Notamacropus eugenii: one gene and its partner. The protein of the gene in region 1 purifies or fractionates together with the protein of each later gene. This does not show direct contact. Links are inferred from orthologs where the notes say so. Each region holds a gene or a part of one and is shown in the gene's direction. Other genes may lie near its edges.

Region 1 (10,222 bases):
ACTCTGAAAAATGTTGAAAATGCTCTACCTCCTGCAGTATCAAATATTCTGCAAAAATTTAATTATTTATGTAAAAACAAACAAGCACATCATCCCATTAGTATGCAAATTTGTTCATCTTTAATAAATAGTAAAATTATATGTTTTGCAAAGAATTGTTTTAAAATAAATTTTTTATGATTTATTATCAAATAAATGTTTGTCAGAAATGTTTGATGTGATCAGTAAGTGTATCTTATTTTATATACCTATATGTCACATAAAAATTTCTCAGGTCATGAGTGGAAAACATTTAAGAAGCCCTTTTCTAGAGTAATGGTGTTAAGCTCAAATAGAAACAGGGGTCACTAAACCTGTGGGCTGAAAATCAACTCAGTTTTAAACTGCAATATTATATATGTTTTATTGTATTTTTATATATTTTTGTTAAATATTTCTCAATTACATTTTAATCTGGTTTGGACCCCACTTGGGAGTGTTCTGGACTGCATGAAGCCTGTGGACTGCATGTTTGACACCTCTGTTCTAGAGGTCCTTCTACCATTTGAATGCTTTTTGTGCTTTTAATGAAAAAATAGGAGTAGTACTAAGAGGAGGAAGAGGAAGAAAAAAGAAAGAAAAAGAAAAATTTTTTAAAGTCAAAACAAAACACACAGAACAATAACAAAAGAAATTAATGCCTCTCCCTCCCCCCATCACCCCTCCCCCCCACAAAAGTTACCATAGAGAAAAAGAAAAAAAAATGCAAGAAATCTTTGACTTTCCCTATTCACTTCAGAAGGACCAAATCTCAGATCTCAAAGATCTGGGTAATTCCAAACATTTGCAGTTCACTGTGAGTCACATGTTGCAGCTGATGACTAGAAACAATACCATTAGGAACATGGGACAGATGATGAAACTTCCAATACAGTCACACACAGACTCTTCTCCCATTGTAATGATGTGTGAGAATGATAAGAACATCAGGGACACAGCACTGATGATGACGCTTCTGGCATAGCTAATAATTCTTCATCACATGTCAGTTATCCATAGAAAGTGATTAAGAGATAATAAACTTCTCTCATAAAACCTGTCCAGGACTAGCTTGATACCCAGACTTTCCCCCATAGCACCGCCCACCTAACTCAATATTCCCTGGCACACATGCTAAAAACTCCCCCTTCCTGGGAACCACATTAAGATCCGTCAGTCAGTTAATTAGTCAATAAACATTTATTAAGTGTCTGCTGGGTGCCAGGTACTGTGGTAAGAACTGGGAATACAAAAAGAAGCAAAAGGACAGTTCTTTCCCTCAAGGAACTCAAAATCTATATACAAGTAAGCTATATAAATAGGATAAATAGGCATTACAGAAAGCATTGGAATTTAGAAGGGGTGGGAAAGACTTCTTTTAGAAGGTAGGATTCTAGTTAAGATTTGAAGAAAGCCAGGGGAATTTGAAAATTCCAGGAGGTGAACATGAGGAGGGGAAGCATTCCAGGCATGGGGAACAGTCAGAGAAAATGGCCAGAGATAAGAAATTAGGGAGGGGGGGATGCGGAGAAGGAGAGCTATGCTAGGTTATGAATGGCTTTGAATACCAGAGAATTTCATATTTTATCCTAGGAAGCCACTAGAATTTGAGTTGAGGAGTGACATGGTTGATTGAACCTGTGCTTTAGGAAAACCACTTTGGTGACTGGAGGATGAAATGAAGTGAGAAGAGACTTGAGGCAGGTAAATCTACCACAAAGTTATTGCAATAATCCAGGTGTGAAGTGATGAGGGCCTGCACTGGAAAAGGGGGCATATATTTGAGAGATGCTGCAAATGTGAAATTGACTGGCCGTGGCAACCAATTGGATTTAGAGGGTGAGAAGTAGTGAGGACTCAAGAATGATACCTAGGTTGTAAGCCTAGGGGATTGGGAAAATGGTGTTATCTTCTATAGTAATAGGGAAGTTAAGAAAAGGGAAGGGTTTGGGAGAAAGATAATGGGTTTAGTTTTGGACATGTTTAGCTTAAGACGTCTACTAGGTATCTAGTATGAGATGTCTGAAAGACAGGAGATAGAATGGAGATCACCAGAGAGGTTAAGGCTAGATAAATAGATTTGAGAATTATTAGCATAAAGATAATTAAATTCATGGGATCTGATGAGATCACCAACTGAAATACTACAACAGTATAAGAGAGCCCAGGATGGAGCCCCATAGTACAGTGGGACACATACTGCTCGAGGACGTGATCTGGATGAAGATCCAGCAAATGAAATTTTCCTCTTCCTCTTTCCTCAGTAGAGAGGCACAGCAGGAGATGGAAGACCTGAGGTCAGGGGGAAGCGTTCTCTTCTTCACATATGAAGGGAGGTGGGTGAACAGGCTAACAGGTGGAGCAGAAGGTAGAAGTTACCTTGTGCTGGTGCAAATGGAAGTCTCCTCCAGATAGCCCCTAGGAATCTAAGCCTGGAAATCAGGCCTGGCCAGCATTAGATGGAAGATGTGGTCAGAGGGAGGTCATTCCTCTTCTCACCTGCGGCTGGAGATCAGGTGTGAAAAGCATGAGGTAGAAGATAGTCAATACACATTTATTAAGTACCTACCAGTGCCAGGCACTGTACTAAGTGCTGGGGATGCAAACATCCTTTTTGTAGATGATAAAAAATTCCTTTCCTCCAAGTAAATATACATTCACTATTGTAGGTGCAGCTAGTGGACCTGCTGGTGGTGCAGGTCCAGTGTTGGGATGAAATGAGGCATCCTAAGTCACTGAACATTTAACAAAGAATTAACAGAGCAAGAACATGCAACAAGGAAGAAATGACACAGCTTCTTGCACTTTCCTTTTGTCTTCATCTGGAAATGAGTCTGTTCAGTATACCATCTGTCCAGGGTTTAGTGACTTGCAAGATCTTAGGCACTCACCAAGTCTAAGAGTCTCAGACTTCAAATGGGTGGGACTTTTTATGCCCCAAATGATCCAGAAGTCATGTCAGGGAAACTGAGGCAAAACTGTTATAAGGGACAACTTTGTCCTGTCAGATATATAGCAAGGCACCTTTCAGCAATACCACCTACTTTTCCCCTTAGGTGTTGTCAAAAGCACCCCAGAGGAAAGAATATCTACCAGTCGGGAGGGAAGTTGTTGTTCAGTTGTTTGAATTGTCTCCAACTCTGTGACCCCATTTAGGTTTTCTCGGCAAAGATAATGGTTTGTCATTTCCTTTTCCAGCTCATTTTATAAATAAGGAAACTGAGGCAAACATGTGACTTGCCCAACGTCACACAGTATCTGAGGCCAAATTTGAACTCAGGGAGATGAGTCTTCCTGACTCCAGGTCTGGCACTCTATCCACTGTACCACCTAGCTGTCCTGTTGAGAGGGACCTAAGCTATTTCTCCAGGACATTCAGAGCCCTCTGACAGGGCAAGGACCACAAGACTCATGCCACTTTGTGCTGGGCAAGAAAGCAGAAGGACAGCTAGAACTATGTCCAAAAGCAGTCCATTCTTATCAGGTAAATCTCTGGAGACTAGATGCAGGAAACCACTGGAATAGAGGGATCTTCCCCTTCCTAGAATGGTATTAATTCATCACGAGCATGATTTCTGGGTGGTCAGACATCTGACCTGGGCAGTCAAGTGCATGATAATGGAGATACTGGTTGGCAGGAACAAACTCCTTGCCCTAAGATTGTCTATGAGGGATAATGATTTCAGGTGGGTATAGGCTGAAGACCACTTAGGTGAGGTAGTTATTCCAAAACACAGAAGTTCCCCTGGGCAGTAACATCAGCCAGAGAGTAAGGAGTCAAGAATTCAAGCTTGAATAACTGGGAGGATAGTGGTATCTTTGACAGTAACGGGGAAATTAAGAGAATTTTGCGGGGACAGATGGAGTTCATTTTTGGACATGTTGAGTTTAAAATGTCTAAGAAACCCACAGAATTTGAGATATCCAAAGGGCAATTGGAGATATAAGACAGGAGGTCAGGAGAGACATCAGGGCTGGATAAATATCTCTGAGAATTATCTGTAGAGAGATGATATGGGAACTGATGAGATCACCAAGAGAAGCAGTTTAGAGGAAATCTTCTTGGCCCCAAAACAGAGGTTTTGAGAGAGATATTCATAGTTAGTGGGCATGACCTGAGTGAAGATGCAGCAAAGGAAATTGAGTAGGAGCTATGACATAGGAAAGAAGAGATCCAGGAAAGAACACTATAAGGAAAACCTAGAAAGAAGAGAGTATTAAGATGAAGTGGGTCATCAATAGTCTCAGAAGCTGCAGAGGCAAGAAGGTTTGAGAAAAGGTCGTTAAACCTGGAAATTAAGAGATTAGTGGTACTCTTGGAGACAGCAGTGTCAGTTCAAAAACTGATTCTGGTAAAAAACCGGATTGCAGAATTAAAAAGAAATTCAAAGGAAAAGAATTAAAGGACTGATTATAAATGGCTTCTTCAAGGAGTTTAGTCACAAAAAGGAGAAGAAATATAGGATGTTGGCTAACTGGTATGGTTAGCTCAAATGAGGGTTTTTTGAGGATGAGGAAGATATGGGCAAGCAGCTGGAAAACTGCCAGTAGACAGGGAGAGACTGAAAATAACTGGACGGGTAGGGTTAGGGTGGGGCACCATGTTGGAGATGGAACTGGATTGCTTATGCAGGTAAAGGCATTTGCCTTGGTAAGTCTTCCGGTGGGACAGGTCGGAAGGGGAGTTTGTGGCAGAAAGCATCTGAGTGATATGAAGAAGACAGAAGAGAGACGCTCACAGTAAATGGCCTCAACTTTTTCTTCAAAATATGAAGCTAGGTTTTCAGTTGAGAGTCTAGGGGAAGATGGGAAGTTTGAGACGGGAAGAAAACGTCTGGAAAAGCTATAATGGTGAGTGGGATAGTGAAACCAATAGGAAAATGTAAAAAAAATTGATTGCATTGCCATAGTGAGGACCCAGTTGAGAGTAAAACACAAAAATTTGTCATGGACCAGTCGGCAACCAAATTATCCAAGGTAAGTTTTCAGAAAGTCACTCTTCTGATTCCATTAGTTCCATCAGCTTCTTCCAACATCACTTTATAGCTTCGTAGGTCTGTAAATTGAGAATTTCTCTGCCTATGCAGATACTTCTTGCAAGAGGGAAAGTCTGCCATGAAAACCAAATTAAAAAAAAAAAAACCCCAAAGGCAAGTAGAGGATGTTAAATTTCTTTTAAACTGCAGAGTTGCCTACTCTACTACAACTGCTTATTTTTATAGAAAATCATTCTAGATTATATCAATTTAAACTGAAGAGCCTGTTTTTATATGAGACCCGCTGCCTTTTTTACAAAAGATTTAAAAAATTTTTCCTTTGAAATGCACATTTGCTGTTTCTCCTACTCTTCCTGGGACAGGCAGAGTAAGGGACTTTGCACTTTGAAGCAGGGAGGGAGTCACATAACAGAACCGAGGATCCTGGGCTGCAGTCTGCTGCCCAATCTGTCCACTTCACCGGCTCCTCCAGCGCCCTATTGCCTTCCATCACGCTGCACTGGCAGCTATCCTCCGAGTCAAACCTTTCATTTAAAAAAAAGGAGAACGAAGCAATCCTCCCAAGGTCACAGTTGCCAGGTTTGTCCCCATCACCCGGTGCATCCTTTCCTCCCCTCCCCCCGAGTCCAAGAGGGGACTTAGAAACAAAGGGGAGCTCAGAGTCCAAGGGCGAGCAGCCGCTGCAGGGGCCACAGCCAGACCATTGGGGCCGCTGCCAGATGCCAGCGCAGCGCTGCCCCGCCCTGTCCCTGAGGGCCCGGGCGCTAAACCAAGCGTCAGGCCCCGGCCCACTGGCGGGCCATCTCCGCCTTTTCCCACACCCACCACGCTAATCCCTCCAGCAAGCAGAGCTTGAAACGGGGAGGGCGGGAGTATGGAGAGAGGAAGAGATTCGGAAAAGGAGGAGCTCAAGCCTCGCCCGGTGCCGCCTCCCTCTCGCGTGGAGTGAAAAGGGAAGTACAGTAACGAACGAGCCCGGCTCAGCCAATGAGAGCGCGGCAAGAGAAGCGGAAGGCCCGTGATTGACAGCAACCAGGAGCCGCTCTCTCCTCCAGAGTCCGCCCCCTAGGCTGCAGCGGCCGCCCCGCCCCCTTTCCTGCTAGGCTCCTCCTGCTTACTCTTCCCGCAGCCCTCGCTCCTCTTCTCTCCTCTGTGGCAGTGGGCGGTTTCTCCTCCTCCGTGCTCCATTTTATATCTTCTTTCTGCGCTCGCCGGACGGCGCGTGGGGCTTCGCTACTCGCTGCTTTTGGCTTGTTTTTTCTCCCTTTCTAGCTCTTGACCCGCCTCCCCTTTTTTTTTTCTCTCTTCCCCTTTCATCCTCTGACTCCCGCCATGAATGAGGAGTACGACGTGATCGTGCTGGGCACCGGCCTCACGGTGAGGACGGGGAGGGGGAGGGGAGGGGAGGAGGTTGGCCCGCTGGGGGTGGGGGCAGGCCGTGACCGCCCGCAGCGGGGGAGGGGAGGAGGCTTCGCTCCCGGAGGGCGTGAGCAGCGAGGGGGGCAGGGAGGGAGAGGGGCTCCCCTGTCGGGAGCGCGCGTGGTGCGGCTCGGGCCCGCGGACCGCGGCCCCCGCCGCGCCTTCTAACGCCCGCTTCCTCCAGCTTCCTGCTTTTATTTATTTGGCCGTGTCGGCGCCGTTGGATCCGACACGCGCACACGTACCCGGAGCTACGGTTTGATTGGCGTCTCTGTCCTTCCGTATTGAAGGACCCCTGGAGGGGGCTGCTTGTCCTGTGATCGCGGAGCTCTTGGATCTGGCAGCTTTTTCCTTCAGATGATGAGCTTTTGGGAAAGGCTGCCCCGGACACTTAAGGTTTTCGGCAGTTGGGGACGAGGACGCTCAGAGGAGCATAAGTGACCGTGTCCCCACGTCCTCGTGGCAGCCTCCCCTGCCCCTTTTGTAGGAGGGTCCAGGAAATGGTTTAAATCAGTGAAGCGGAGGAAGAGGTCTGGAATTAAACGGCCTGCTTCCTGCAAAGGAGAGGAGACTCGAATAATTGTAACTAAACTGAATTCCAAGCCTCTTGTGACTTTTTCCCCCTTTGGGTTGATGACCTCTCCGGACGGGAGGCAGGGTGGAAATGGTTCCTTCAGTGACTAAAATTCACTCCCCTGCAGCAGTGAGCAGGCAAAGGGCACTGCATGATGTGAGAAGCGATGGTCAGCGAATTCTGAAAAGGTCTAATGGGGGCCAAAATGCTGCGCCGAGTTTGTGGGGTTTGGCAGAATCTAGTTGCCCCCCTTCTCACTCTGGTGTTTTGGGGATGCCTTTCTTACTGCACGTTTACAGGCGAGAAATGAGAAAGACTTGCTGTTGATTTTTTTTTTCTCGTTTTCTTCTATTTGGTCTTTTCTCTTTTCTACTAAGATGTGGGTTAATGAATAGTAAAAGGCACAGATAACCCCATGACAGCTTCTTAGGGGACTTAGAAGAAAAATCAGTATATGTCTATGTGAGTGCTTTCTTTACTCCATGAATGGCTTTGCCTAATTTAAATGGTTTGTGTGGAGGAAGGGGACAAAAATGTGCTTTTAGGTACGTCCTTTAAGGACTCCTATGTTGTCTTTTTTCCCACCAGAGTTGAATATACTTCATATTTTAGCATTCCCATTATTGCATATTTTTCTCAAAAGATTATGGCTCTTTTTAAAAACATTTTAAGTTGGATAATTAGGATCCCATGAATGCTACAATAGAAAGATATCAATAAAAGGCTTTTCTGTGACCTTGGCCTATTTTATTGAATTTCCTAATTGTTCATACTTTGGGGTAACTTAACTCAGCAAAAAAAAAAAAAATACAGAAAAAGTAAATAAATTCTCTCTGTTACATATCATTTTACAGTTTATTTTAAGCTAAATAAATATTTGTTGACTGGATGAACAAATTAGTATTCATAAGAAAAGCAGTGTTGGAGGACAGAGTGGAATTGATTTGAACCTCGCTTTTGTTTTATAATCAGTAAGCAATATTTGAATGTATTTTGGTTTTCGGGTATCCTCTAGAAGACATACTCATATACCAGTATTAATCACTTTTGATTGATGTTAAAAGGACAATTTTCAGTTTTCATTTGATTGGTTAACCATTTACAAAATAGTTACTAAAAATTAATGTATTGTTTTTCAGTCTATCACTTTAATATTTATATTGATTTTTTGTATTTGTATTCCTCTCCATCACAGTGGATCAGACAAACTAAAGTTGCAAACTGTAGCTATCATGGGGATTGAAAAAAGGGGTACCAATTATGAAATTATTTATCGGAAAAATCTTTTTAATGATTTTTGAATTTTAGAGATTGAGTTGAATCTCTGTGTGGTATATTGGGAAACGACCAGACCTTTAAAGAAAGCAAACTTGTACACAGTTGTGGTGGGTTAGATCAGGTAGCAAGTGCATAGTACTAAGTCCATCATTTTGGACTTAGTTTCTTGCACAAACCTTTATTTTGCTCTGTGGTTGTGGATTTTCAGTGTTTTTCACTTAAAAGGGTAGGCAAGAGTCAGCATGGGTTCATCAAAAAACATGCCAGACTAAAGTCATTTACTTTTAGTGTGAGGGTAATTAGATTTGGAAAATGCTTTGGATTTGGAGTCAGGAGAGATTTGGTTTTGAATCCTGACTGACATTTACAAGTTGTGTCACCATCAAGCAGTTCACTGAGTTCCAGTGTTCTCTGTAAACTGTAAAAATTATACCTGTAATTTTTACCTCACAGGGTTAATATGATCTTCAAATAGGAATATGAAAATGCCTGAGATGCATCTTTTGTATTAAGAGTCTGGAACTACAAAGATAAAAATTAAATATATTGTGCTCACTTCAAGGAGTTTACATTTTATTGTTGTTCAGTCATTTTTAGTTGTGTCTAACTTTTTGTGACCCCCATTTGGGGTTTTCTTGGCAAAGATAATGGAATGGTTTGTCATTTCCTTTTCCAGCTCATTACACAAATGAGGAAACTGAAGGAAACAGGGTTAAGTGACTTGCCCAGGGTCACACAGCCAATAAGTGTCTGAGGCCATATTTGAACTCAGGAAATGAGTTTTCTTGACTGTCAGCTATGCCTCATTTAGCTGCCCCTTACATTTTATAGGAGGAGATAATAGGTACAACACACATATATAAGGTCATGCAAAATAAATAGAAGGTAATTTAGGGAAGTGCTAGCGCAGGGGTGGCAACCTGCAGCCTGGGAGCCACATGTGGCCCTCTTAGTCCTCAAGTGTGGCCCTTTGGATCCAAGTCTAGATCCTCAACTACAGCCCTTTGACTTGAATCTGAAGTTTGGATTCTGTCAAAAGGCCATACTTGAGGGCTTCAAGGTTTCACATGTGGCTTCAAGGTTGTAGGTTCCCCACCCCTGTGCTAGATGTTAGGAGCTAGGGGAATTGGGGAAAGACATTGAAGGTGATATTTGAGCAGAGCTTTGAACAAAACTCAGAATTCTAAGAACTAGAGATGAGGAAAGTACAATCTAGGCATGGAGGAAAGCTTGTTCATGGCACCAAAATGGGGTGTCTTGTTTGAAGAATATCAAGATAATCAGGTTTAACCATAGTGTGTTTGAAGGAGAGCAATGTATTATAAGACTGGAAAAGTAGGTTGGAGTCAGGCTGTGAAAGGCTCTAGGTTGGGAGTGTTTAGTCTGAAGAAAAGATTTAGGGCTTATATGTGTTAGAAATCTTTAAATATTTAAAGATATTCATATAGATAAAAGACATTAGGCTTGTTCTGCTTAGTCCTAAACATAAAAATCCTAATGATGAAAGTTACCTAAAATTAGAATGCTTTGCTATTCTCATAGCATGGTGAAATGGAGAGAGAGCATTCTTCAAAGTCAAGAAGACCTGGCTTCTGCCTTTCACACTGAATGGCTGTGTGACCCCTGGCAAGTAACTCAGCCTCTCAGGGCTCTAGGCAGCTCTTTTAGGCTGTAAGTTCAGAGACAGTGCCAGCCTGCATTGGTAGAGGAAATTTCCTCACCTAGAAAGAAGTTAACCTTTACCAGTGAAATCACAAGTCCACTTCCCATCTCTATCTTTATATTCCTGTCATTGGAGATGTTGGAATGTTATAAAGCTGGATTTATGATTTGGGTAGGTGTTAGACTTACGCGACTTATGAGGTCCCTTGTTTGGTCATTTTTAACATTATTTTAACATTATTAATAAGTCAAATGCAGTTTCTATTGTTTTATT
Region 2 (11,043 bases), on another chromosome or scaffold:
CAACCAGCGAAAACAACCAGAGATGGGAGATGGAGTGTCTCATGGGAGAAACAGCAAGGAGGCCGATGACACTGGATCACAGAGTATGTGCAGGGGATTAAAGACCATAAAATGTGACTACAAAGGTAGAAAGGTGTCAGGTTATGAAGGATTTTGAAAGTCAAACAGAAGATTTTACACTTGATCTTGGAAGCAAGAGGAAGTCACTGGAATTGATTGAAAATGGCAGGGATGAGGCAACATGGTCAGAACTGTGCTTTAGGAAGGTCACTGATAACTGAATGGAGGATAAACTGGAGTTGGGAGAGAGTGAGTGAGGGAGTCAGAAAAACGAAAAGGCTTTTGAAACGAGGTGGTATGGGTCTGTGCCAAAGTAGTGGTAGTGTCAGAGGAGAAGGAGACGTATACAAGAGTTGTGAAGATGGACTCAATAAGCACTTGGCAACGAATTGAAGATGAGGTCAGTGCTCCAGAAAGAGAGAAGTCAAGGATAACAGGTACATTGTACGCCGAGGTAACTGGGAGGATGGAGGTACCCTGAAAAGTAATAGCGAAGTTAGGAAGGATTATCTATAGAAAGACACCAAGTTTTAGATATGTGGATTCTTAAGATACCTACAGGACATCTATTTTGAGGTGTCAAGTAGGCAATTGTGAATGCAGATCTGGGGGTTCTCAGAGGGGTTAGGGCTGGATAAGTAGATTTGACAGTCATCAGCATAGAGACGATTTGATCCATGAGAGTTGATGAAGTCACTAAATAAAATAGTATAGAAGACAATAGGGTCCAGGACACAGTCTTGATGATTAGCAGGAACGACTTGGATGAAGATCCAGCAAAAGAATTGAGGAGCAGTCAGACAGAAAGGTAGGAGAAACAGGAGACAGTAGTGTAACAACCTATTAGGGCAGTTAGGTGGATAGAGTACCAGATGTGGAGTCAGGAAAGCCTGAATTCAAATCCAGCCTCAGATATTTACTAGATGTGCGGTCCTTGCAAGTTACTCAGTGGGTATTTGCCTCAGCTTCATCATTTGTAAAATGTAAAATAATAGCACCTACCTTGAAGGGTTGTTGTGAGGAATGAATGAGATAGTAACTGCAAAGTGCTTAGCACAGTACCTAGAACATGGTAAGTGCTACATAAGTGTTAGCTATTGTTGTTACTAACAAAACAGAGAAAGAGAGAGAGAGAGAGAGAGAGAGAGACAGAGAGAGAGACAGAGAGAGACAGAGAGACAGAGAGAGACAGAGAGAGAGAGAAAGAGAGGGAGAGAGAGTGTATCAAGGAGAAGAGAGTGATTGAGAGTATTAAAGGCTGTGCACGCAGAGATGTCCCAGAAGATGAGGACTGAGACAAGGTCATTAGGGTCAGCAATTATAAGAACATTGGTAAGTCTGGAAAGAGCAGTTTCAGTGGAATGATCAGGTCAGAAGCCAGATGTTAGCAGGCGGCAAGTTCCCCACCCCTGCTCCAGAGAGTTAAGAAGACTGAAAAAGGAAATAGAAATCCTGATAACAGATGACCTCTAGAAGTTTTGCCATGAAATCAAGGAGAGATATTGGGGATGAGTGAGGGGTTTTTTAAGGATGGGGAGAAATGGCTGTGTATATCGACAGCAGAGAGATAGCTGGTAGACCAGGAGAGATGGAAGTAATTAATAAGAGAGTAAGGATGATAGAGGGAACAATTTGCTGGAGAAGAAAGGAACAGGATCCCTTGTGTAGGGAGAGGGAGAAGGGAAAGGGGGAGGGCCTCTTCTTGGAAGACAGGTTGAAGGAGGAGATGGTGGGGAAGGCATCAGAGTCATGTGAGAGGAGGAGGAAGAGATAAGAGGGAGCTCTCAGTGAATGAACCTAATGTTTTCAGTCCTTAGGGTGAGGTCCTTACCTGAGATGGCTGGGGGCAGGGGGAGCTATGAGAGGCTCCAGGAGGGCAGAAAAGGTTTGGAAAAGTGTCTGTCTTGAGTGGGATAGCAAGTCAATCAAGGAGGTGTAAAAGTATTGCCTTGCTGAGGCAAAAAAAGGCCCACCTGAGATTTTACATATAAATTTGTAGTGAACCCAGTCAGCAGGGTTTCATGATTTCCTTCAGCTTAGTTTAGCAGCACAAGAGGAGGAGAAAAGGTGTTGGATGGTGGGAGTATCCAGAGCTAAGGCCTGGAAGGTCAAGATCTTCAATAGAATAAGAGAAAGATGACTGTGAGGACTTGAATTGGTTTCCCAGGGGGTCAAGATGGGGAAAGTAGGAGAGTATAGTGAGTATAAGGGGTGATAGCCATGGAAAGAGGCTGAGGGGTAGAAGGATTCGAGGTTGCAATGAGGACAAAGAATAGTGTTTGGGATTGCAAGGCAGGGGAAGAGATGAAATGACAACAGGCTGTGATCCGATAAAGGAATTTCAGAATTCCTAAACATGGAAGTTCATGAACATACATGTGGGAGATGGCTTAATCAAGGGTATGACCACGTCTGTGTGTACTTGAGGTCAGATGGAGAAGCAGGCATAGGAAATGTGCAAATTTGAGGAACTGGAAGGTTAGGGTGTTTTGGGCAATATCAGAGTGTATGTTGAATTCCCCTAGTGTGAGGGTAGGAATTGGGGAAGCGGGGCAGGAGAGGGAGAGAGACAGAGAAAGAGACTGTGATCCAGGCACTGAAGTCATTTAAGAGAGGAGGGTGTCCTTGAAGTTGGTAAATAACAGCTGCCAGACTCTTGATTGGTAGCAAATATAGATTCAGTGAACCTCAAAGGAGACGTTTACTTAATGATCAATGGAGAGCCTAGAAGTGACAATAGGGAGCAATGAGTATTCTAATTCCCCTACCATGATTAGTTGGGGTATAAATGAAAGGGCAGTTAGTGTGGAAAAGGGGGGCCAGAGAAGCTGTGTTATTAGGAGGGAGTCAGATCTCAGTAAGTTTCTGTAGACCAAAGGAGTGAGAAAGGAAAGGGTTTAAAATGAAAGCAAGTTGTTACTTCTGGAGTGGATATTCCAAAGAACACAGTGGAAGGAGGGAGGTAGGTTTCGAGTGGTACATTGAGGGATGGGGACAGTTGGATTGCAGAAGATGGAAATAATGATAATAGTAGTAATAGAAGTTAACATTTATAGAGTTCCATGTGTCAGGCACTGTGTTAAGCACTTTACAAATCTCATCTCATTTGATCCTCACAATGACCTTAGGAGATGGGTGCTATGAATATATCCATTTTATAGATGAGAAAACTGGGGCAGACAGGGTTAAGTGACTTGCCTAGGGCAAAGTCAAGTGCAAGTCGCATCATTAGTTCTCTGATGGCCTGGTCTTCTTTGACAGCGAAGGACAAACACACAAGTGTCTGAGGACACATTTGAATTCAGGTCTTCCTGACTCCAAGCCCTGCTCTCTATTCACTGTGCCACCCAGATCATCAGAATGGATTTGAACAAATCAGAACGTGGATTTCAATGGTTCAGAGTCATGGTGATGGGGAGAGTATGACTGGATAGGAATTTGTTAATCATTGACAGAGGGAGGTATGTAAGTGGTTACAGGCTCAGGTGAGGGGCCTAGTAGAGGTGGAGTTACAGGAGGTCACGGAGCATACTAGGAGGGAGGAGGACGGAGTGGAGGACCCAAGAAGCCTGGGACTAGGCAGCTAGGTAATAGCATTGGCCTTGGAGTCAGGAAGACATGAATTCAAAATTGACCTCAGTTAGTTACTGCCTGGGTGAATCTGAGCAACTCAATTAACCTGTCTACTTTAGATAGACAACCTCTGTCAGCTATAAAATGATTTAATAATACCTACCTCTCAGGGTTGTTGTGAGGATCAAATTAGATAATATTTGTAAAGCACACTTAACAGGGTACCTGGCATGTAATATGTGCCTAACAAATGGTTGTTTCCTCCCACCCTTCCATAGCAGGCAATTCCTTGCTTACTTGACAGGCTCAAGAGAATTAGTAAAGCTTTAAAGTACACTAAGACTTTTGGGACATCCTATATTATAAAGTACCTAGTGGCTGGTACATATAAGTGGTGCTTTCTTTAAATGGTTAGAGAATACAGAAGTTAGCTGGAGTAGTTAAAGAAGTCTTCAAGGTGGAGGTAGAAAAGGGAATAGAAATTAGAGAAAGGCCTAGCCAAGAGAATTAGTGAGCGAAGACCAGTTGCCTGGAGTGGGTAATGCATACTCAGGGAAGGAACAAGGATATCAATCTTACTGAAACAAAGGATTCCTATAGAGAGTGATAAAGTTAGGAAAAGAGCATCCAAGGAGAGACTGTGTCTCAGGGCAAGAGGGGATCCCAGACCTAAACTAGGCACCTCCAGATCCATACTAGGGGAGTGTAATGGGAACGGGTGCCCACTGAAATCTGTGTTGCCTACTACACTTTTTTAGGTCACAGTCCTACACACAAGGGTAGTGTTGCTGGGGGGGAGGGGGAGACAGACTGAGAGACAGAGAGAGATGCTTTTATTAATGGAGTAAAAGCTTGAAGAAAAAAATGGAAAAGAAATTAAATTTCTGAAAGGATTGGAAAAGGGAATTAACAGTGTGGGACAAGAAGTATAAAACCTTGTCTGAGCAACAAACTCCCTGAAAAATAAAATGGACTAAAAAGAAACCAATAACTCCATGAAACAATGAGATGATAAAACAAAATCAAAAGGTTGAAAAATAGAAGAAAATATAAAGTAGCTCAAAATGAAAACAATTGACCTACAAAAGAGTAGAAAAAATTGAAGATTAGACTATCTGAACACCATGAGTGAAAAAAAAGGTAAGTGACCACATCTTGTAGAAAGTAGATATAAGAATAATCCACCAGTTCCCTTCTGAAATAAGCTCCCAAATGAAATTTCCCAGCTACATCACAGCAAACCCCGAAGTTTCCAGATTGAAGAAAAAAATCCAACAAGCAGCCGGAAAGCAAGATTTAAAATACCAAACAGTTAGGATCACACAGGATTTAGCACCCAGAAGGAAAAGAATTAGAGGCTAAGAATAACTTGCCCAGCAAAATGCATATAATGCAACAAGGGGGGCAATGGATCTGTAATGAAATAAAGGATTTCTAAGCATTCCTAATGAAAAGGTCAGTATAGAAACTTTGAAGTTCAAATGCAGGAGGTAAGAGAAACATAAAAAGGTCAATATGAACAAACAATGATAATTGCCTAAACAAAGACTTAACTGCTTACATTCTATTATAGACAGGTGATATATGTATACCCTCTGAACCTTATTATCATCAGGGTTCATAAAGGGAGTCTAACTCTACAAAGTCTAGGAGCAGTTCTGTTACCTCTTGACCTTAAGAGAAAAATGGAAAGAGAAGGTAAGAGAATAGAGGAGGGGAAGGAAGATTAGGGAAAATTATCTGACATAATTAGGGTGTACAAATAGATATCTACAGAAACAAAGAAGAGAGGAGGAGAGAACATCTCACACTTCAATTTCACTCTCATCTGAATGGGGAAGAACATACACACACATACATCTGCTTACAGAAATATAGTTTATTCAACATAGGAGCGAAAGGGGAGAAGTAGAGAGGGAAAATTGGAAGAAGGGTAGATTAAGGGAGGGGTTAGTTTTAAGCAAAACAAATTCTAAATTTGTACAAAAATATTTAAAGTTCTCTTGAGGTGGCAAAGAATGGGAATCAGAGGGGGCACCCATAAATTGGGGAATGGATGAACAAATTATGATGTTTTGGAATACCATTGTGTTGTAAGAAGCGTTGAAGGGGATGGTTTCAGAGAACCCTGGGAAGACTTGTATGAACTGATGCCAAGTGAACCGAAACAGAACAATTTATAGCATGATATAAGCAACTTCCCTCATGTGTTGTTAAATGAAGGTGGAGAAAGAACCGGGAACTCTTATCAGCTAATAACTAACCACAGTTCCAGAGGACTAATGATGAAACATGCTATCCACATCCTGATAGAGGTTTCAGAAGGAAAAAAAAAGGATTCAGAGTGTAAAACGAGACAATTTTATTAAAGGACACGGTCAGTGTGGGAATTGTTTTTATTGGCTATATGTAACAGGATTTGTTCTTTAGTTCACAAGTGTGCGTGGGGGGGGAGAGGGTTGGAGTAGAAGGGTGAGAAGGCAGATTATTGCTAATTGAAAAAATATGTTATATACAATTTTTTTAAAATATTGGTCTTGATCATTAAAGGCCATAACTCCTAGGTTCTTAAGGTGTACAAAGAGCTACCTCCCATCAACCCAGATGGGCAAATAGTCCCCATTTTACAGATAAGGAAACTGAGGCTTGAGACTGGCCCAAGGTCAGCCAGCTCATAGCGTATCAGAGGCCCCGACCGGACCACCTAGACCAGGGAGAGGCCGGCGGACTGGAGAGGAGACTTCGGAGACCGTGTCTGCTCCGAGGTGGGGGCGGGGGAGGGAGGAGTCAGGACCGCTGCGGTCCGACCCGAACACAATTCCAGAGTTCCCCGCGGCGCCGCAGAGCCACCGGGGCATCGCCTTTGCTCCCAGCCCCTTTCAAAGTCTTTTCCTAGGGATCGTCTATTAAGGCCCTAGAGCGAGCCGGCTCAGGGCGGCTTCCCACTCAGCGGCCGTTCTAAAGCTTTCTCCCCCTTGGGTTTCCTCTCCAGCTGGACCCTTCCCTTTTCTTCCTTCCTCCCGGCTCCTTTCTCCCTTCCTCTTCCCCGCCCCTCGCTTCTCGCCCCACCCCTCTCCCGCAGTTCAGCCCCTCCCTTGACACCTCCCCCTCTCCTTTAGGTCGCTGACTCGCCCAGCTGCCACGTTTCACTGATGACATCACCGAGGCCGCTCAGTTTTAGCCAATCCGCTAGGGGGAGTCAGAGCGGAGCCTTCTCCCGAGAGACGGTCGGGAAGGGAGAGGAAAGGGGGGGGAAGTGGGGTAAAGTGGGGTGGTCAACAGCTCCCTCAATGCGCATGCGCCAAAGGAGCCGGGCTCGTCGGGAAAGCGAGTCCCAGCCGTCTTGCCAAACCATCTGGCTGCGGGGCCCCCAGGCGCGCGCCTGGACTATCTTGCCCGGCATGCAGTGCGGTGCGGCCGCCCTCTGGGCTGTGTAAAGGCCCTTCGGTCTGAGGCTTCCCTATTTCCTGGTTCGGCGGCGGCCATTTTGGGTGGAAGCGAGAGTCGAGCGGCAGAAGCGGCGGCGGCAGTGGCAGCTGATTGTGTTCACTGGGTGCGGAGGGGGGTAGACGTTTGCTCTCCCGGAACGGACTTTCTCATTCCTTTTCGTCGGTTCCGGGCGCGGAGAATCAAGGCGGCAGCGGCGGTAGTAGCAGCAGTACCAAGGGCGGAGGTGGCGGCGGCGGCGGCGGCAGCTGCAGTGACATGTCCAGCATGAATCCCGAATAGTGAGTGAGGGGCCGGGAGCGGGACCGAGGCCGAGGCTGGGCCGGGCGGTGAGGGGCGGGCACCGGGCAAGAAGAGGAGGAGCGCAGGGCCCGGGCCAGGCGATGCGGAGCCGGGCCGAGCCGAGCCGTAGGCCACCGGCGCGCAGCCGAGCGAGGCCCGCCGCTCCGAGCCGGGCCGAGCCGGACCTGGCGGGCCCCATTGTCTGACGGCGGAGGGGGTGCGGCTGAGAGGGAGCCGCAAGACCCGAGGGGGGGGCGGGGTCCGGTGAAATGGAGGCTCCCCGAAGCAGGCCCGGGAAGGAAAGGGGGGTTGTGAGAGGCTGCCTCGGAGGGCCCGCTGAGGGCTTCTTTTCTCTGAGAGAGGTGACTTCCGCGAAGCGGGTGGGTACTTCGGGGGGGCCGGGGTGGGGTGCTGTCAGCCCCCCGCAGGAGAGGGGAACGGCTCCGCTTCTCCGGAGCTTGTTTTGCCTTCCTTCCTTGGGGCCCCGCCAGGCGGCAGGTGAACATGGACGCTCCTCAGGGACCGTGGGGAGAGGAGAGGGGCTCTTAAAATGCCCCTACTTCTCCGAGCCTGTGTTCTGGAGGAGCCAAAACCCTCCTGAGGACCTGGTCACTCGGGCCGGAAGGACTCCATCGCCTCTGAAACACTTCTCTGTAGGACCCAAGGAAAACCTCAGGCACAAGCGCACCTCCCCGTCGTCACCGTGTCAGACGAGCCGAGTGTGGCAGCCTGTCACCCTGAGGGTGATGGAGAGCCGGCCTCCGCGCTGACCCTTGGGCCCCCGGGCACGCCGCTCTCCGAGCCCCTTAGAGTTGCCCAGGAGGTGCTAGCCTGTGTGGGGAGAGGGAGTTTCTTCCCTTAAGAGTTCCGGGTGCTGCTGAAATCACAGGTCTTGTCCCTGTCCTCATCCTTACAGTTATAGTAGAGAGAGAAACTGGTGGATCTGCAAGTTTTGGATTACCTTACCTGAATGATTGCAGATAAGGAATGAGGTTTCATGACGTGTCATGAAAAGTTAATGCATTTCTTTTTCTTGCTTAATTGAGAAGCAGCGACAGCAGATGTGACATACTTGGCACCTTTCCTAGTAACTGGAATTCACTTTTCTTGGGAAAATTCTGTCGTTCTTCCCCAAACCCCCCAATTTCCTCCCCTCAATACATGTAAAATTACTCAAATAGTAACGATGTGATTGAAATGGATGCTTTTAAAATAAACCGGTATGTCAGAAGGAAAGATTAATGTTAGAGTGTTTTCTTAAAATTTGAAGTTCTACTGCTAAATTCCCTGTACTCCTATCCCCTTCCCCTCTGGTCAACCCATCAGCTTAGCTGACAGTCATGTGTGTGTCACATGGCTCTTGCAAAATGCATTCTGACTGCAGGTTTTGTAACACTGTGGTTTGGTACTGAAATGTTTCCTTTGGTTTGTATTAAATTGCAGAGAAGGCATCATATTTGATTCGAATTCTGCATATTTTAAGATGTAGCTAGTTGATTTGCAGTCTTGCAGTTTCACCTTTCCTTACAAAGTTCTAGGAAAAGGGGCCCCAAGAAAACAAAATTGCAGAGTTGACTAGTGTCCTTAACTACTCCTTAGCAGTTTCTTGGCCACAGTCAGAAACACTGATTAGCCATTGCTTTAGAAGTTGGTTGCCTTGCTGCTTAGGGCGCTCCTTACGCAAGATTCAGTTTATGTAAAAGTAGTTAAGAGAAAACTACTGTTAACATCATAATCAGATATTAAATAGACCAGGGCAAGTTACTTAATTTTTAAAATTTATTTCCTCATTGTAAAAAGGGAGTATTAATAGCTGCCTAATCCATACCACAGGTTTGCTTTGAGGGTTAAATGAGGTAATATATGGTGAAGTACTTTGAAAACTGTAAGATTATTGTTGTTTATTATGATTATTATTTAAAATCAAAGTTTCAATAGGTTGTTTAGGAAAGCTTTCAAAGGTAACTATCATAGAATTGCTAGTCCAAATTTGATCACTGTTTATAAGGTGCTTGAGTTATGAACAGAAGTAAGCCGTAGACTCTGCGTTTAGGGATTTTGCAATTTTAATTAGAAACTAGAGGTAAACATACTGTCTTACACTATAATTTATAACTGCTTTATGAGCACTGCATAGGAAGGAAGAGATCACCATGGTCTGGAGAAAGCTCATGTAGGAGGAGCCACTTGAACTGCCCTTCTTGATGGAATGGTAGGACTCTGATAAGTGGAAAGGAAAGGCGAGGACGTATGCAAGGCAAGTGAAACATTGTTGGGCAAAGATGAAAAGGAGGAAGAGCCAATATTTTTAAAGTGTGCTTTGGAATTTCTAAAGTGAGTTTCACATTTTTGTGACTAAAGTTAATAAATGTGGTGTGAAATGTATCTACCTATATATTGGCTTTTTAATGAAGTTAAAAGCTTGAGCAGAAGCCCTGCAAGGATACCTTTTTTGTATGATAACTGTTTTTATTGGTTGCATCCTAGCACAGAAAATTGACCCATGACCACACTTTTACTGTCTAATAGTGGGTCCAATTGAAGTAGAAGGGAGTTTGGAAAGAGGAAGTTGTTGTAAATCTTAAGAGTGGATGGTGAAAATTATTTGGGATATGACATAACATTTAGTGGAAAAGACCAGTAACTTGTCAGCAACCAGATTAGAAAAGTCAGACTTTGCAAAACACGTTTCTTGAATTTTTATTTTATTTTTTTGTGGTGAGGCAATAAGGGTTAAAGTGACTTACCCAGGGTCGCACAGCTAGTAAGTGTCAAGTGTCTAAGGCCAAATTTGAACTCAGATTCTTCTGACTTCAGGGCCAGTGCTGTATCTATTGTGCCACCTAGCTGCCCCAACTTTTCTTGAATTTTCAGATTGCTTTTTCTAATTTAAACTGACACTAGTTTTGTGGATAAATAAATATTCTTCATAACAATGTCCTGAAAGTTCATAGTCAAATATTTTTATGTACTTAGAAATGTTTGCTCTGAGTTAATAAATAATCATCATCTATATGGCTAAATATTGAACTGTAGGGAAAGTTGGAAAGAATTAAAAATGTCACCTTTTTTAAAGCAAACTCTTGGTAAGATAGAACTGAGCATTGAGCTTAGTCAGGTCTGGATTCTGCTCCCAGATATGCCTTGGTGTGACTTAGGTCAAGTCTTGTTGGCTTTCTGGATTTCTGATTGCTTGTCTATTTAAAACAAAAAACAAAATAAGGAGGGGGGAGAGGTGTTAAAGTTTGGCTTTGGATAGTAGGCTGGTTTTTAGATTGATGTTTGTCCAGCCAAATGTTCAAACTTCGTTATTGGCAAAAGGAATATTCTGTGGAGTAGTACAGGAATCTTCCCCTTTGACAGTCTCAAAAATTAGGGATGTACTTCATATTTCTTAACAATCCCATAATAACTCCAAAATGTGTTTTCTTGATAAATTCATTATAACCCAAATCCTTTCTGAACACTTTCTATTTTCTATTTTCATCATTGCTGCTGAGTTTAATAAAAAATGGTGGGAGGTAGGTGGAGACAAGGCCTATAATTAGAATGGAAAGTTATATATAGTTTTTTGTTTTTATATTAGTTAATATAAAAAGGGTGGCCTATAGCTGCTTTACCATTTTTTTTTTTTACTTTATGAATTGTAAAACTTGAAATAACATTAGTAACAGTAATTTC

The links.
Region 2: the proteins of GDI2 (region 1) and RAB1A purify together in Homo sapiens (affinity purification with mass spectrometry; 6 studies listed by BioGRID and IntAct, counting the BioPlex papers as one, with this or other methods). This does not show direct contact. The link is inferred for Notamacropus eugenii from reciprocal best matches to the Homo sapiens genes GDI2 and RAB1A.

The regions. Positions count from the first base shown.
Region 1 is NC_092874.1:209,606,723-209,616,944, reverse strand, and holds the start of GDI2 (rab GDP dissociation inhibitor beta), read left to right. Parts: upstream 1-6,010; 5' UTR 6,011-6,347; coding exon 6,348-6,392; intron 6,393-6,566; exon of another isoform or gene 6,567-7,196; intron 7,197-10,222. UniProt on the Homo sapiens protein: GDP-dissociation inhibitor preventing the GDP to GTP exchange of most Rab proteins. By keeping these small GTPases in their inactive GDP-bound form regulates intracellular membrane trafficking.
Region 2 is NC_092872.1:639,181,798-639,192,840, forward strand, and holds the start of RAB1A (ras-related protein Rab-1A), read left to right. Parts: upstream 1-6,020; 5' UTR 6,021-7,338; coding exon 7,339-7,361; intron 7,362-11,043. UniProt on the Homo sapiens protein: The small GTPases Rab are key regulators of intracellular membrane trafficking, from the formation of transport vesicles to their fusion with membranes.